Arabidopsis thaliana: one gene and its partners. The protein of the gene in region 1 purifies or fractionates together with the protein of each later gene. This does not show direct contact. Each region holds a gene or a part of one and is shown on either strand. Other genes may lie near its edges.

Evidence for each region. The genes of interacting proteins can lie anywhere in the genome.
Region 2: the proteins of AT1G64190 (region 1) and AGD2 fractionate together in Arabidopsis thaliana (co-fractionation; one large-scale study listed by BioGRID). This does not show direct contact.
Region 3: the proteins of AT1G64190 (region 1) and ACO1 fractionate together in Arabidopsis thaliana (co-fractionation; one large-scale study listed by BioGRID). This does not show direct contact.

The regions. Positions count from the first base shown.
Region 1 is NC_003070.9:23,824,782-23,828,792, forward strand, and holds AT1G64190 (6-phosphogluconate dehydrogenase family protein), read right to left. Parts: upstream 2,356-4,011; 5' UTR 2,232-2,355; coding exon 768-2,231; 3' UTR 547-767; downstream 1-546. Other genes in the region: AT1G64185 (Lactoylglutathione lyase / glyoxalase I family protein), read left to right, coding at 85-220, 315-371; AT1G64195 (Defensin-like (DEFL) family protein), read right to left, coding at 2,930-3,089, 3,209-3,267; VHA-E3 (vacuolar H+-ATPase subunit E), read right to left, coding at 3,912-4,011. UniProt on the Arabidopsis thaliana protein: Catalyzes the oxidative decarboxylation of 6-phosphogluconate to ribulose 5-phosphate and CO(2), with concomitant reduction of NADP to NADPH.
Region 2 is NC_003075.7:16,171,169-16,176,569, reverse strand, and holds AGD2 (Pyridoxal phosphate (PLP)-dependent transferases superfamily protein), read left to right. Parts: upstream 1-1,846; 5' UTR 1,847-1,939; coding exon 1,940-2,022; intron 2,023-2,260; coding exon 2,261-2,337; intron 2,338-2,455; coding exon 2,456-2,523; intron 2,524-2,718; coding exon 2,719-2,835; intron 2,836-3,119; coding exon 3,120-3,182; intron 3,183-3,394; coding exon 3,395-3,499; intron 3,500-3,584; coding exon 3,585-3,635; intron 3,636-3,736; coding exon 3,737-4,057; intron 4,058-4,132; coding exon 4,133-4,339; intron 4,340-4,429; coding exon 4,430-4,723; 3' UTR 4,724-4,889; downstream 4,890-5,401. Other genes in the region: AT4G33700 (CBS domain protein (DUF21)), read left to right, coding at 1-23; AT4G33690 (G patch domain protein), read right to left, coding at 433-721, 827-1,109, 1,204-1,372; AT4G33670 (NAD(P)-linked oxidoreductase superfamily protein), read left to right, coding at 5,124-5,293. UniProt on the Arabidopsis thaliana protein: Required for lysine biosynthesis. Catalyzes the direct conversion of tetrahydrodipicolinate to LL-diaminopimelate, a reaction that requires three enzymes in E.coli. Not active with meso-diaminopimelate, lysine or ornithine as substrates.
Region 3 is NC_003075.7:16,972,150-16,979,894, reverse strand, and holds ACO1 (aconitase 1), read left to right. Parts: upstream 1-1,733; 5' UTR 1,734-1,945; coding exon 1,946-1,949; exon of another isoform or gene 1,950-2,101; coding exon 2,102-2,206; intron 2,207-2,312; coding exon 2,313-2,473; intron 2,474-2,577; coding exon 2,578-2,670; intron 2,671-2,761; coding exon 2,762-2,947; intron 2,948-3,031; coding exon 3,032-3,193; intron 3,194-3,315; coding exon 3,316-3,460; intron 3,461-3,574; coding exon 3,575-3,717; intron 3,718-3,814; coding exon 3,815-3,871; intron 3,872-3,971; coding exon 3,972-4,051; intron 4,052-4,131; coding exon 4,132-4,207; intron 4,208-4,448; coding exon 4,449-4,634; intron 4,635-4,717; coding exon 4,718-4,785; intron 4,786-4,869; coding exon 4,870-4,988; intron 4,989-5,074; coding exon 5,075-5,196; intron 5,197-5,287; coding exon 5,288-5,386; intron 5,387-5,475; coding exon 5,476-5,955; intron 5,956-6,296; coding exon 6,297-6,395; intron 6,396-6,469; coding exon 6,470-6,712; intron 6,713-6,819; and 3 more. Other genes in the region: AT4G35820 (2-oxoglutarate (2OG) and Fe(II)-dependent oxygenase superfamily protein), read right to left, coding at 7,466-7,652. UniProt on the Arabidopsis thaliana protein: Catalyzes the isomerization of citrate to isocitrate via cis-aconitate. Contributes to oxidative stress tolerance. May have a role in respiration.

The sequences.
Region 1 (4,011 bases):
AGTTCACTGTCCTGTCTGATTGAAAATGTGGAACTTATAGAGAATCTGTGTTAAATTATAGAGCCATCATTGTTTTTGATGCAGCGAGCATGTGATGAGTGAGAAAGGATACTCTTCGTTACTATCGTTCACTGTAGCAGACATTAATACAACAATCTCTAAACTTATGGAATTAGGAGCTGAACTCGATGGCTCTATCAAATATGAAGTCCATGGCAAGGTAAAAACGCAACCACTTCCTGCAAATGCTTTAATCTCATTGTCTAACATTTCTTTTGATAAGAATTCAAATCTTTCTTTTTCTTGATAACCAGGTTGCTTCTGTGAGATGTCTTGATGGTCATGTGCTCGGACTCTATGAACCTTCATGAGTTTTCTATTCAGTTCGGATTATGTGGATTTGATTTTGTTTTTTTCGATCCGATTTTGGTTGAATAATGTTTCAAAATTTTGCTAATCGGATGTTTGGTAAGGACTTAGCTCTAAGACAAATGTAAATCTAATATATCCGGCGCAGAAAAGTCGTTAATTGATTGTTCAACTAATCGTCTAGACATTCGATCTATTAAAGACAGGGGAGATATGTTTTACAAATTTAAAAGCAAAGATGTTCAGAAACAAAAACAAAAATCAAGGTGCTGCTGCATTTCTTATTCTGAAATCTGAACAAAATACTCGTGTTAAACAATGTGGTTTGAAATCCCATTTCCAATTGCTCAAAAATAAGCAAGACAAATAGGGCTTTTACAAAAACAGAAAGGGATTTTTCAATGGTTCTTCCTGGCAAGCTTAGTCCATTCAGTATGGTACGCACCAGGACGATCGGTTCTCTCATAAGTGTGAGCTCCAAAGAGATCTCTCTGCGCCTGAACCAGATTCGCCGGCAATCTAGCACGTCTATAAGTATCGAAATACGCAAGACTAGCACACATTCCAGGCGTGCTAATCCCAGCAGAAACAGCCAAACCAACAACTCTTCTCCAAGCAGCTTGTCTCTGAACCATCTCTTTAGCAAACTCAGGATCAACCACAAGACTAGCCAAGTCCGGGTTCCTCTGGTAAGCTTTCTTGATCCTATCCAAGAAAACCGCTCTTATAATACAACCACCTTTCCAAATCCTAGCCAATTCACCAAAATTCAAGTTCCAACTCTTCTCTAAACTCTTAGCTCTAAGCAAATTCATCCCTTGAGCATAACTACAAATCTTGGAAGCATACAAAGCTTGCCTAACATCATCAACCAATCTCTTCTTATCGATTCCACTCGACGCAGAACCAATCTCTTCTTTCAATCCAGCTTCCCTCAACACTTTCGCTGCATTCTCCCTCTCATCTTTCAACCCACTCAAATACCTACAATCCAACGAAGCAGCAATCGTCGGAGCTGCAACAGACAGCTCCGCCGCTTGCTGCACCGTCCATTTCCCAGTACCTTTCATACCAGTCTTATCCAAAATCTTATCAACTAACTCTCCATCACCAAACTCATCCTTAACCCTAAATATATCAGAAGTTATCTCAACCAAGAAACTCTCAAGCTCACCTGAATTCCACTCAGTGAAAATCTCAGCAAGCTCCTCGTTGCTTAATCCACCAACGTTCTTCAACACATCATAAGCTTCAGAGATCAATTGCATATCTCCATACTCAATCCCATTATGAACCATCTTCACGAAATTTCCAGATCCACCTTCTCCGATGTAAGTAACACAAGGTCCATCTTCAACTTGAGCTGCGACTTTCTCCAAAATATCTTTGATGTTATCATAAGCTTGAAATGATCCACCAGGCATTAACGAAGGACCGTTACGAGCTCCTTCTTCGCCGCCGGAGACTCCCATACCTAAATAGAGCAATCCTTTTTGCTCAGCTTCGGAGATCCGTCGCTCTGTGTTCTGATACCATTCGTTTCCACCGTCGATGATGCAATCTCCTGGCTCCATGTATTCGGAGAAGGCGTCGATTGTTTGGTCAACGGGAGCTCCAGCTTTGACGAGGATGATGAGAGATCTAGGCCGTTGGATCGAGAGGACGAAATCGCGGGGAGAGTATTGGCCGGAGACTGGGAGGTTTCCTTCGACGGCGGCTCGATCTAGGGTTTCGTCGACTTTGGAAGTGGTTCGATTGTAGACTGAGATTGGGAAACCTTTCTCGGCGATGTTTAAGGCGAGGTTTTGGCCCATCACGGCGAGTCCGGCGAGACCGATTCGGGATAGTGCGGCGGACTCCATTGGAGATAGAGAGATGAGCTTAGGATTGGTTAGGTAGAGAGAGAAAAATGAGGTAGTGGGAGTGATGAGAGAGAGTGGGTGGAGATATTTATACTGTGAAAATGACGGACTCGTCGATGGAGCCAAGGGACAAACGAAAACGATGATCTCTATGTTTTTCAAAACGGTGTCGTCTCGTCTAGAACTCCATGTTAACAAACGTTGCCGTTTTTGTTTCAAATATGATTCTAATGTTTTTGTTAAATTAAAAATGTTTACAAATCACACTCTAACATAAAAATTTAATCATAGCTTAAGGATTTGCTTGTCGTTATATGCAAATGACTTACGAAAATTCATACAATAACATTCGTTTAATTTTTTTAATATCCAACTAGTGGGCTGTTTGATTTATTAATCTCTAATGATGTTTCATATCTAATATATATTTTGGTTGTAACAACATTTTTTAATACGATCAATATGGTAGTGTCCATGTCGAACTTGGACTCTCTACCTCTTCTTTTTAGTCTCTATAAAAGTTTTTCAATTATTTTACATCAACTTGATACATTAGCCTTTTGACGATGTTGAATGGTCGGACAACTTTCCATCTACGATCTCACCATTCTACTGGATAACCAAGTATCTTTCTTATATGATGATAGGAGACTAAGTGGATCAATTAAACAAGACAGAGTTTATCAATGAGATGGTGTTTATCCTTCATAACACTCGCACATGTAATTACCCTTGTGGCCTTGACAAGAACCACCCATAAAACCTTGTGTCTTACAGGAACTGTAACACATACTTTTCTTCTCCACACCGTTAGGATCTGGGCATCGTCTTCCCGTTGGATTCATACTTTTTGCATCTCTTAACTCTATAATTTTAATAAGAAAAAAAGTTAAGGGGTTCATTTACTAAACCAAGAAAATTAGAAACAATGATTTCTATGAACTATTGTCTATTTGATGTGTAATGTAATGATGAACAATAGAGAGCACATATATAGGCAAAGAACAAAGGAGAAGGAGATTTTGTTAGACGCCATTTTCTTTATTGAAGTTCTTTTTTGTTCCTTCAAACAAATAACACTATAACAGTGTGTGAATTTAGCCAAGAAGGAGGAGACTTTGAACCCATCTAAATAAATAGGCAATTAGGCATATACAGCTAAAAATAAATATGGCTATGTATATCTAAAAAAAAGTATGTGAATTTGACGAAGAAGGATGAGACTTTGACCATCCTGTGACGCTTTCTTTCTTGTAATCAACCATGTGTCACGAAGGAGAAGTTCTAAATCTTAGGTAACAAAAAGTGTGACAAAGTTAGGATAAAAAGTTGACAAGATGATGAGCAACTTACTCTTATCATTATCAATACACCACCAAACCAAACAAATATTTATATCAATTAACAACAAAAGACCAATGCCCATCAACAAATTACACATAATTTAGAAAAAATGGTGACAATAGAAAGAAATGGATAAATGGAGCCACAAACTTTCCTTGGTTATAAAGTTGGAGTCACTCATCAAGCTGCACCAACCTTGCCGAAGAGCGACTTTCGGATCTACACACATTTCAAGAAAAGATCCTTTAGAACAAAACTAAAAATACTTAGGACAAGACAAATGAGGTTTCAAGAGTTTTGAAACCAATAAGAAGGTATAAGCTTAGGAACATGGTACTACAAATTTAAGAGAGCAAATGGGGATTTTAATTTAACCTCTGGAAGTTTATTGCGGAAGGCAACCTCCAACCTCGCATCAAGCGTGTTTTCACACACG
Region 2 (5,401 bases), on another chromosome or scaffold:
ATCACCATTTTGAAGACTCCTAACACAGAGTGCATGACCACTGAACTGGTTATGAATGTCGAAAACTTTAGTCTTTGTTTTCAACTTTCAAACTGTCACTTGTCCGGCGAATGTGTATCAATGTAGGCATGAACAACAACTTTTTCTATGGTTTCAAGATGTTTTCTCTCTATATATATATCATTGGTCTCTAAGATATGTCGCTCTCTCCTTTCTTCAAAGAGTTTTACCAAATCTGAACCCTCATAGGCCACACCAATAGTTGTCTCTACTACCTATATATCATTAGTCTCTAAGATATGTCACTCTCTACCTTACTTCAAAGAGTTTTTATTCGCATTTTACTAATACAAGAATTAATGAAATATGATCATCTTATGGATACAACATCACTGCCGGTGTAAAAAGGCAATTACTTTTGTCCGGAAAGATCTAGTCCCTACCATATTTTCTCTTCTTCCTATCCCTTTTCTTCTCTTTTGACTTGTGTTTCTTACTAAGTTTCTTCTTATGCTCCTTTCTCTTTCTATGAGCCCGTTTGTAAACTTCCTCCTCGTCGGAAGAAGAAGAATCTGTCCTACGTCTCAATAAAGGTGATCGCTCTGGCTGAATCACTAGCTTCCGATCTCCTGTATCAGAAGTTCTTGACAATTCCCTCTCAGGAAGACAGGGTAGCGGTTCATCCATCATAGCACCAACAGAACCTCTGCCACGCTTGACCCTATCATAGACCAGAATCACAAGTTTTATCAGCAAAAGCCGATCCCAAATTCGATCATTATTGTAAAGGAAATAATCAGGCAGCATCTGAGTATAATGGAAATACCTTGATTGGAGAAAAGTCTTAACCTCGACATCTCCTAAGCCTTCATCATCATCATCCTCTGATTGCCATCTTTTGCTTCTGCTCCGGCTTGATGATGGTGATAAACTAGTAGTAGTAACATTCTCATCAACTGAAGTACATCTCTTTAAAAAATCCCTCCTATTGTTCTGCTCACTTTGACCATTGCTGCTCTCATCTCTTGATTTTCTTTTGAGCCTTTCACCAAACTCAATCTCTTTACTCCGAAGACTCCACATCTCATTGGTTTCCACAGCTTTGTTTGCTGAATGGAATAAAGAAGAAACAAATAAGAGATAAACTAAAAAAAAACTAGATTTTGTTGGATAGAAGCAAAGTCTGTCAACAAAAGATTATACCTTGCTGAACACCAAGAACTGTAGCAGTGAGAAATCTAGAGTTAGGTCGATGCCTTACATTAGGCTTCTCAAGATATGCTCTGACGCCATCTTTCTCAGCTTGTCTCCTCAATTCTGCTGCTTCTCTTAAAAGAATGGAAGCTATTCGATTTTCAGTTTCCAGATCCATCTACTCCAAGGTAAAACAAAAAAGTATAAGCCTAATCAAGTTATGTGATCAAATCAATCTGGGTAGATCAAACAAAGATGGAGTTGAACTTAATTCGACCACTACAGCTATCTAAATCATTGCTTCTTAATCACAGAACTTCCACTAAAGCTACGTTCTTTCGACAACGAAATCAACGAAGCAAAACAAACAAAATTACGTAAACACACAACAATCGAAAAGGGGATTTTTGGAGAACCCTATTGGTCGAGATTAATTACCACGAAATCGAATTGACTCAGATACAGATATCTAGTAGCAGCTTCACGAAATCGTGCGATTCCTCGGCGTTTTCCAGCAGGCGCAGAGCAAAATCATTGTCCGAGCCAGAGAGAGAAATAAATAAATTGAACTGAATTGGAAAATTCCCAAAAATTTCTAGTAAAACCGAACCGGAACAAACCGGATTAATTTCCTCTCAGACCAAACCGAAGAAGAACCCTAGTTTTATCAGTCTCACCAACTATCTCCCATGGTTCATTTGCTCTGCAAATTTGTCTGAAAAAATCTTTGTGCGAAGCAGGAAAAATGTCGTCGACCCATCAGTTAGTTTCTTCGATGATCTCTTCTTCCTCATCCACTTTCTTAGCCCCTTCAAATTTTAATCTCAGGTGCGTCGTTTTGTTTTCTTTTACTCTCTGTTTGCTACTGATATAATCTAGTGAGGATGAATATGAAATTGGATTCATTTCCAGAAATTAATTGTATGTTATGAATTTACTTGGAAATTTCAATCCTTTGGTTTTTAAGTCGATGTTGGATGGTGTTGTTTGGCCAGAGAACAGTGCATTTGCTTGTGATGATCATTGATTCATTTTTTTATTGGTTTGCTTTCCTTTTTGGCTTCAGAACTCGAAATGCTTGCTTACCCATGGCAAAACGGGTCAATACTTGCAAATGTGTTGCTACGCCGCAAGAGAAGATCGGTAATGTTCCTACTCCATGTTGTTTTTGCTGTAATGATTAGTAACATAGTTAATGATTTATCGTCTTTTAGCTGTTTATCTGTTTCTTACAATACATGATTTTGTTTTCTGTATGTAGAGTATAAGACCAAAGTGTCACGGAATTCAAACATGTCCAAACTTCAGGCTGGATACCTATTCCCGGAGGTTTGTTACCTGTTACTCTCTTGGTACTACTATTTAAGATTTCAAATACCTAAAGGAGTGGCATTTCAAGTTAACATTTTTGAAAGCTTCTAGTGATCTGAAATATTATAACTATCTGTGTAATAAGTTAATATATCCTCATTGATTCTGTATATAATGCTCCTCTCTCTTATTTTTTTGTGTGGATGCAAACAGATTGCAAGAAGAAGGTCTGCACACTTGTTGAAATATCCAGATGCACAAGTTATAAGTCTTGGAATAGGCGACACAACTGAGCCAATTCCTGAAGTGATCACTTCTGCTATGGCAAAGGTACCTCCTTATCTTAACTTAGCTTCATGTGCTCTTTGCCCTTCTCTGGGCTCTAGCATATTTTAAACTGATTTTACTAACACTGCCCTAACATGTATTATTTCGTTCATTTTGACAAAAATGTATAACATATTTTCTGTTTTGGCGTATTTGGATTATTAAACGAGAACTTCTCTGTAATCTAACAATGAAAATTATTCTGGTAGCATAGTTTTTTTGTTTGCTATACTATTCACACAGGCATGTAATCTCTAGAGATTAATCATGTTTTTTTTCTCTGACAGAAAGCTCATGAGTTGTCAACAATAGAGGGATATAGTGGTTATGGTGCTGAACAAGGTGCAAAGGTCAGTGCACCCTTCATTTCCACCTTATTGCGTTGTTATCATTTCTTTATTATCTGCCTTTGCACGTCACTTCAATTTTATTATGGATAGTCTTGAACTGCTGCTAAATTCAAGAGAAGATGGATTTAAACCTGTTTCTTACATGTAAAATCTTAAAGCTTAATCTGTTAAGTTTTTATCCAAACTAACCTTGATTTCACATATGTGAAAAGCCACTGAGAGCTGCTATTGCGAAAACATTCTACGGTGGCCTTGGCATAGGGGATGATGACGTTTTTGTTTCTGATGGAGCTAAATGTGATATCTCACGTCTCCAGGTTTGTTTTATTGCTGACTATTCATCTGTAATTGATACAAGATTAAGAAATATGAACAGCTGTTTCTTGATTCCACTTCTTGCAGGTTATGTTTGGTTCCAATGTTACAATTGCTGTTCAGGATCCTTCATATCCGGTAATTGGGCATATAGAAACCAAATTGCAGTTGTAGTCTTCTCTACTTTTGCTCCATTTTAACGTGGAACTATGCTGTCTCGTTTTTTTTGGATTATACAGGCTTATGTGGACTCCAGTGTTATTATGGGTCAGACTGGGCAATTTAACACTGATGTGCAAAAGTATGGAAACATCGAGTACATGAGATGCACTCCAGAGAATGGCTTCTTTCCCGACTTGTCCACCGTTGGCAGGACAGATATAATTTTCTTCTGTTCCCCAAATAACCCTACGGGTGCTGCTGCCACGAGAGAGCAACTAACGCAGTTAGTTGAGTTTGCAAAGAAGAACGGTTCTATAATAGTGTATGATTCCGCCTATGCAATGTACATGTCTGATGATAACCCACGATCCATCTTCGAAATCCCTGGAGCAGAGGAGGTAATAGACTGATTGATTATAACATTAAAAGGTCCATTTTTCAACATCTTTCTTCATGTGTACAACCGCTTACAGGTCGCTATGGAGACAGCTTCGTTCAGCAAATATGCTGGTTTCACTGGAGTTCGACTTGGTTGGACTGTCATCCCGAAAAAGCTACTCTATTCAGACGGTTTCCCTGTTGCCAAAGACTTCAATCGGATTATCTGCACTTGTTTCAATGGTGCATCTAATATCTCTCAAGCTGGTGCTCTTGCTTGCCTTACACCCGAAGGACTTGAGGTTAGCTTAGCTAAAGAGAGATCTCAAACCAGTTCCCACTAGTTCAGATATGCAAAATGATTTATTTTGTTGTCTTTTGAATCATTGCAGGCAATGCATAAGGTGATTGGATTCTATAAAGAAAACACAAACATAATCATTGACACATTCACATCTCTCGGGTATGATGTATATGGAGGAAAGAATGCGCCTTACGTATGGGTTCACTTCCCGAACCAAAGCTCATGGGATGTGTTTGCTGAGATTCTGGAGAAGACTCATGTGGTTACAACTCCAGGAAGTGGGTTTGGACCAGGGGGTGAAGGGTTCGTTCGTGTCAGTGCCTTTGGTCACAGAGAGAACATCTTAGAGGCATGTCGAAGATTCAAGCAGCTTTACAAATGAAGAACCTTGTTTGTAATCGTTCCTCATCATCATCACCCTCTTTAATGACATGATTTGAGTTAAAATAATGTCGTTTCCATTGTTTTCTGGAATTTGTAGAAGACACTTTTGACACCAGTGTTTCAAGCAATTTGGCAAAGTATTTTAACAACGAAATCAAAGTGCAAATAAGTGAACTAGTGTGGAAAATAAAATATTTAAATTGGACTGAGGAAGAACGTCAAAAAAATATAAAATTGGATTGGTTAAATAAATCTAAAATTGGACCGGGATGGGTGTTTTCGTAATTTAGGCTTGTTGAGCCACCGTGTGGGCAAAAATATCCAAAAACACAACACAAGTGTTGTCTTCTCGCGTCTCTCATCAACGAGAACCAGTTTTTTTGTTGATCCTATCAACAATGACGAAAATAGAGCTTCGAGCTTTGGGGAACACAGGGCTTAAGGTTAGCGCCGTTGGTTTTGGTGCCTCTCCGCTCGGAAGTGTCTTCGGTCCAGTCGCCGAAGATGATGCCGTCGCCACCGTGCGCGAGGCTTTCCGTCTCGGTATCAACTTCTTCGACACCTCCCCGTAAGCACTTCTTCTTCTTTTATATTTTCTAAAGATTACTGATTCTTCAATACTAATTGCTGATTCTCTGAATGTTGAGACTAATTTAATCGTTAAAGTCAAAATTTT
Region 3 (7,745 bases), on another chromosome or scaffold:
TTGTATTGTTTAGTTTCACTGCTGAGAGTGAGTTTCTCTATGTACTGTAATGAACTTGGCCGATCGTGTTTTACTAGTTTTTCTCTTGAAAGAAAAATTCGTATTACTGGTACTTGGACTAAAATTTGGTCTCCACACCACTCTCCTCTAATCATTTTACAAACAATTCTATATTTGAGAGAGGATATTATTGAACATGATACAAATTAAATAATATTTTATGAGTACGTATTTGCATCTTGTGAGAAAGAATTAAGTGTTTTCTAAGGGAAATATTAACAATGGGTAAGTGAAAGTAACAGAATGTTTTACCTATAAGGATGTATAATAATATAAAGAGAGAGGAAAAGAAAAAGCCAAATAGACAAAGAAGATATAATTATGATTGGTAGGTTATCTACATGCTGACCAAAGTCACATTTTTACCGGTGGTGCGTCTTTGTGTTGGCGTGATTGATAATTTAACCCGGCCACCACTTGCATCTGCTCCTTAATTTATTTGTAATTGTATGGAAGCATCATCAAATCAACTCCATAAATATAAGATACTTTATAAGCTTTCGTCCATATTAAAATAAACAATTTTTTTTTTTTATAACTTCTTTCTTATTGATATTAGCTTAAAAGATCGTATAAACAAACTTATATACGATCAAACAAACTAAAAAAGAGAGTTCTTTATCAAAAACAAACAAACTAAAAAGAGACGATAAATGAAAGAGATAACAATAGTATGTAATTGTCCTTACATAAAAAAAAAATATGAGCCACGCCAAATCTAAAACGATTTCGTTAAACATATATAGTTCTCGATATTTATCAACAAAGACGATGTAATTCGTAATCTATATACGTACATCTTCTTAACTTTTTTAAAAATATAAAAAGGTGCTTCAGATTCAAGGGACTGAAACTAGTGAGGTTTCTTAAAAGCAGATATATACACTGACCACGTTCAGGTTAATAGTTAGTAGATTTTTAGGTGGATAGTAATATATTGATGGACAATATTTAAATACAGACTATAAAATTTAAGAGACTTGAAGTGTTCCTAAGAGTAAATTTAATTATACATTTTAATCATGGCCTGAAAAACTAAACAAGGAGGGGTAGAATAATTAATCATCTCAGCAGCTTTCCATCTGGACACACCATTCAGCTAAACGACATTGTTTAATCTCTAACCAAACTGGGCTAGACCGAACTGGGTACAAAGATGGGTTAAACTGGGCTAGGCCCAAATTAATCAGAACATAAATTTCGAACGGAGCGACCCATTTCCAAAATAAAAAAATGTTTTTTATATATATATATATATATATATATTTTTTTTTTTTTTAAATCGTTGCATGCAGGTTGGTGGCGATATTTTTTGGTTTTGTCACCAGGTGGTGGTGAAATAAACGACGATCATTGAATATTTTTGGTGTCTTGTATATGTTTGTGTCATTGTGTGTATTTTTTTTTGGTGTGTTGTAACGACGATCATTGATTGTATATGTTTGTCAGAAATTAAGGTTTTTTTAATCAATCAATGCCATGTGAAATTGAGAAACCTTGAAGAAAATTGGATTACATAAAACTAGATACTATAGAGAAGAGGCACATATCAGATTGGTGGATTATAAGTTTGTGAAAATAAAATCATGATTGAACAGATATAATTCACTTGATACAAAAAAAAGCAAAGAATGGATATTCACAAAAAAAAAAAGTTGGATAATTAAGAAAATAGAATATAAAATAAAAATAAAAATCAAACAGCCATCAGTTCTGACGAAAAGAGCCCACCACGGATCTGTCAGATTTATTTCCTTCTTACATATAAAAAAAATCTGAATCGGCTCAGGCTCGTGTAGCCTCACCAACTCCGCTTATAAACTTTCTCTCTTCTGAAAACAGATCTCTCTACTTTGCTTCTTCACTCGACTTGTATCTATCATCCATGGGTATCGATTTATCTGTTTACGATCCAAAATGATTCATGTTTCTTATTTCTTCTTCTCGCCGATGCTGATTTTCCAGCTATTTTTCGTTTTTTTGAAATCTGGTTCTGTATTTTGATTTGCTGTGTGGATCTCTGTTTCTGATGTGTTTTCAGCTTCCGAGAATCCTTTCCGAAGCATATTGAAGGCGTTAGAGAAGCCTGATGGTGGTGAATTCGGTAACTACTACAGCTTACCTGCTTTGAACGATCCCAGGATCGGTGAGTTTCCTTTTATCTCTGATAGATATTATAATATTTTGTTAGAAGACGTTGTTATGATCTCGTTGGTGAGAGTTTTATGAGAGAAATGTTGTGGTGGATGCAGATAAACTACCTTATTCCATTAGGATACTTCTTGAATCGGCCATACGTAACTGTGATGAGTTCCAAGTTAAGAGCAAAGATGTTGAGAAGATTCTTGATTGGGAGAATACTTCTCCCAAGCAGGTTGAGATTCCGTTCAAGCCTGCTCGGGTTCTTCTTCAGGTAGACAATGATTGGTTGCTATACACATTCTTGATGACATAATGATGTTTCTGATTTCCTGAAAATGCTAGAATGTGATATCATTTTTTCTATTTGTTTTTCAGGACTTTACTGGTGTTCCTGCTGTTGTTGATCTTGCTTGCATGAGAGATGCCATGAATAATCTCGGTGGTGATTCTAATAAAATTAATCCGCTGGTTAGTTTCCTCGCTTTTTACTGAGATTGGTTAATGATTTGTGTTCTTTTGGTATGCTATAAGGTTTGATACAAGGCCTTGATAATTGCAGGTCCCTGTAGATCTTGTCATTGATCACTCCGTTCAGGTGGATGTGGCGAGATCAGAGAACGCAGTGCAGGCAAACATGGAGCTTGAGTTCCAGCGTAACAAGGAAAGATTTGCTTTTCTTAAGTGGGGATCCAACGCCTTTCACAACATGCTTGTCGTACCTCCTGGATCTGGAATAGTTCATCAAGTAAGTAGAGGATTCAGGGACAACGGTATTGCTTGGAAACTTAAAGTATTTTTATGCTAAATTCTATAATTTTGCAATTGACAGGTCAACCTAGAATACCTTGCCAGAGTTGTTTTCAACACAAATGGACTTCTTTACCCAGACAGTGTTGTTGGCACAGACTCTCACACCACTATGATTGATGGACTGGGTGTTGCTGGATGGGGAGTTGGCGGTATAGAAGCGGAAGCTACCATGCTTGGTCAGGTAAATCAGATGCTCTTTCGGTCGAGAACTCATAGCTAACTGTCTAACCTCTTTCTGAAACTTTGGTTCTAAACTACATCCTTTCAATAATTCTAATAGACTTTCCATCTCTTTATATGCAGCCAATGAGCATGGTCCTACCCGGTGTTGTGGGTTTCAAGCTAACGGGAAAGTTAAGAGATGGAATGACAGCTACTGATTTGGTCTTAACAGTGACTCAGATGTTGAGGAAACATGGAGTAGTTGGAAAGTTTGTTGAATTCCACGGTACGTTGATAAAAGATTTGATATCATATTTCATATATGTCTCTTATTTACTTACATAGTACCTTACCGAGTTAGGCTAGCTCACATATGCATCGACTGCTTTTTCATACACAGGGGAAGGGATGAGAGAATTGTCTTTAGCTGACCGTGCTACAATTGCCAATATGTCTCCTGAGTACGGTGCGACCATGGGATTCTTCCCAGTCGATCATGTCACTTTGCAGTATCTAAGGTTGACAGGCAGGAGCGATGACACTGTAAGAAAATGCACAAAATGTCACATTTGGGAAAATCTTCATTATTTAGTGTGTTAAAGACTTTCATAATGGTATTGATTTGTGAATTGGATTGCAGGTCTCCATGATAGAGGCGTATTTACGAGCAAACAAGATGTTTGTGGATTACAGTGAGGTAAACCTTGGGCATCCTTAATACTTCATTTCTTATGCCTATTGTCATATATCATATTTGCATAACATATGCTTCACTTGGAACTTGTTGCACATCTCAGCCGGAGAGTAAGACAGTTTATTCCTCATGTCTGGAATTGAATCTCGAGGATGTGGAACCTTGTGTTTCTGGTCCCAAGAGGTACTATTAGTGAATGATTCGACAGAAAATTATCTAGGATCCATTCTACTTACAATGTCTATTCTCTGTGCACAATACAGGCCTCATGATCGTGTTCCTTTGAAGGAAATGAAAGCGGACTGGCATTCTTGCTTGGACAATAGAGTAGGATTCAAGGTTAGTACTCTCCTTTCTGTTGAGAAGATGTGAATGCTTGCAGTCCCGAGAGCTTAATTTGTAGGAAATTATGACACCTCTAGCTATTGTTACTGTAATTTTGAAAGAATGGTACGTATTCGAGTCTTTAAGCGGGTCCAATAAACTAACTTGTACGTTCTGCAACACTTCTGAATTTATAACCTACTTCCATTTTTTCAAAAATAGTGGTTAGTGATACTACTTATCCATGATTTTCCAGGGTTTCGCTGTACCTAAAGAAGCACAGAGTAAGGCTGTAGAGTTCAATTTTAACGGGACCACAGCACAGCTTAGACATGGAGATGTTGTTATAGCAGCAATCACCAGTTGCACAAATACTTCAAACCCTAGTGTAATGCTTGGCGCTGCCTTAGTTGCAAAAAAGGCCTGCGACCTAGGACTGGAGGTTTGACTACTTGTGTGATAGTGATTTAATATCTTTATGTGCAATGGAAATAATAGAAGTGTTTGAAATTTCTCAATTATTAGGTTAAGCCATGGATCAAAACTAGTCTTGCTCCAGGCTCTGGAGTTGTAACAAAGTACTTGGCAAAGAGGTGCTGCAGATACACCGTTGAATGTTTTGTTATTTATTTCCTTATCCTTTGTATTGTGTGGTCCTGAGTTTTCAAGTCTTGCAGTGGCTTGCAGAAGTACTTGAATCAGCTCGGCTTCAGTATCGTTGGTTATGGGTGCACCACATGCATTGGAAACTCGGGGGATATCCATGAAGCTGTGGCTTCAGCAATAGTTGATAATGGTAATTCCTTAAGTAGTTAATGAAGTAATGCTTCTTCACTTGAATTTTCGAAGGTCAAACTAAAAGATTTCTCATATATGTACAAGACTTGGTGGCATCCGCTGTGTTGTCTGGGAACAGAAATTTTGAGGGACGTGTTCACCCGTTAACAAGAGCTAACTATCTAGCTTCCCCACCGCTTGTTGTAGCCTATGCTCTGGCTGGAACTGTATGTTAATGCTAACTCTAAAGCCATTTCACAACATTCAAGCATTCTTGTTATATGAAGCACAGAATCATTCACATGAATATTCTTGTAGGTTGACATTGATTTTGAGACACAGCCCATTGGAACTGGGAAAGATGGAAAACAGATATTTTTCAGGGACATTTGGCCCTCTAACAAAGAAGTTGCTGAGGTAAATATATATGGGCTACTTGTGTAATACGTAAACAATGAGATATTATAAGTGGAGGGGATGCCAAATTCTCTGTTTCGATTTTTCAGGTTGTTCAATCTAGTGTCCTTCCTGATATGTTCAAAGCTACATATGAAGCAATCACCAAAGGAAATTCCATGTGGAATCAGTTATCTGTGGCGTCAGGTACTCTCTATGAGTGGGACCCGAAATCAACTTACATTCACGAGCCGCCTTATTTCAAGGGCATGACCATGTCTCCACCCGGTCCACATGGTGTGAAAGACGCATACTGTTTACTCAATTTTGGAGACAGTATTACCACTGATCACATCTCACCAGCTGGTAGCATCCACAAGGACAGTCCTGCGGCTAAGTACTTGATGGAACGAGGTGTGGATAGAAGAGACTTCAACTCATACGGGAGTCGCCGTGGTAATGATGAGATTATGGCGAGAGGCACTTTTGCAAATATCCGTATTGTCAACAAACACTTGAAAGGAGAAGTTGGTCCCAAAACAGTTCACATTCCCACTGGAGAGAAGCTTTCTGTTTTCGATGCTGCCATGGTATAATCTCACTTTTTTTTTTATCCTTTTGAAAACATCAAATTCAAGCTCTTTGGTCATGAGGTTGGGGTAGGATTACGATAAGCTTTGAATAAGCACTACAGCTCTACTCTTAGCTATAGGTCTACTGTATCTAGCCTAGGACTGAATGTAGTAGATTAGAGCTGTTGTGAGTTGGTTTATAGAACAGTTAGTGAAGGCTGAGGTAATAATAATGTCTCAGCAGATTGTCTTGGGGGTGGAAATTTTGTTGTTTGATTCTCTGATTTGGTCAGTTGGAATTAGAATAGCAGTTCATAGCTTTGTTTTAATCAGATTATTCTCTCCTCGTGCTGTACCAGAAATATAGGAACGAGGGACGCGACACAATCATTTTGGCTGGTGCTGAATACGGTAGTGGAAGTTCTCGTGATTGGGCTGCCAAGGGTCCAATGCTTCTGGTACATTTTCTGTATTTAACAAACACGTTCTTACACTTATTTTATGCGGTTTCTTTAAAAAATTGTGACAACAGGGTGTGAAAGCTGTGATTTCAAAGAGCTTCGAGCGAATTCACCGAAGCAATTTGGTGGGAATGGGAATCATACCTTTGTGCTTCAAGGCGGGAGAAGATGCTGAGACCCTTGGCCTAACGGGTCAGGAGCTTTACACCATTGAGCTCCCAAACAATGTTAGTGAGATCAAACCAGGACAAGATGTAACAGTCGTCACAAACAATGGCAAATCTTTCACATGTACACTCCGATTTGACACAGAGGTAAGTTATCTCTAGATGATATATTTTCGTCTTTTCGTCTTTGAGTTTTTTTTTTAGCTCTAAAACAAAATGAGATGAGATAAGTAAGAGGAATTTGGAATCGACAGGTGGAGTTGGCTTATTTCGATCACGGAGGGATTTTGCAATACGTTATCAGGAACTTGATCAAACAATAAATCTGGTAACACCAGAGACTTGAGTTATATATCCCAAGGTTTGTTGCAATAAAAATGTTTGCAGGGAGGAGGACGAGAATGACTTTAATTTAAACTTTTGCTTTTGTTCTTCTTCGTCTCTTGCTTCGTGCTAGTCAATTGGAAACATTATCACTGTCGAGTCATTTTTTTTCTTTCAAATAAACATGCGAGCTCTTTTTTTGTTGTTGTTGTTCATAAGCATTGTCAATGCTGCATTGATAGAAGTATACTCTACCATTAGAAAATAAACACAAATACACAAAGTAATCTAAAGAGCTAGAGGATGAAAATTATCTTGTGAAGGTTGTACAAAAACATTAAAAAAAATCTGAGATGATCCAAAGGATTGATTATCACATTCGAAGTGATGGTCAGAGATTACCTCTTGGAATGTTGTGTAGAGTTGATGAACTTATGAGAGCGGAACCATTTGGTTGATGCCCACTTGGTTCCTTTGATTACTGGACTCCCACCTAAATCAAACAGACAAATTTTTGAGAAATTTGTTTTACATCTCATGATCTCAAACAAGTTATAATTAAGGGTTTATTACGATTTAAAACAAGTTTAGAGAAAGGCAATGCCTCTTACCATGCTTACTCGAAGGGTCTCGAGACCCGTCGGGTCTCATGCTCCAAAAGAGTAAAGCGTCTCCCTTCTTCGGTCTAACAGAGACTCCTTTTTTACTTTTAATTCCTTTGGCTTCAGGGAAAACTGTTTCGCCGCCTTTATCAACATCCGAGCTAATTAGTCATACGATGAGAAAAGAAAACAAGATTAACTTATGCAAATATTGTAAAATTTTTACATGGCTGATGAGAAAGATTATAAAGGGT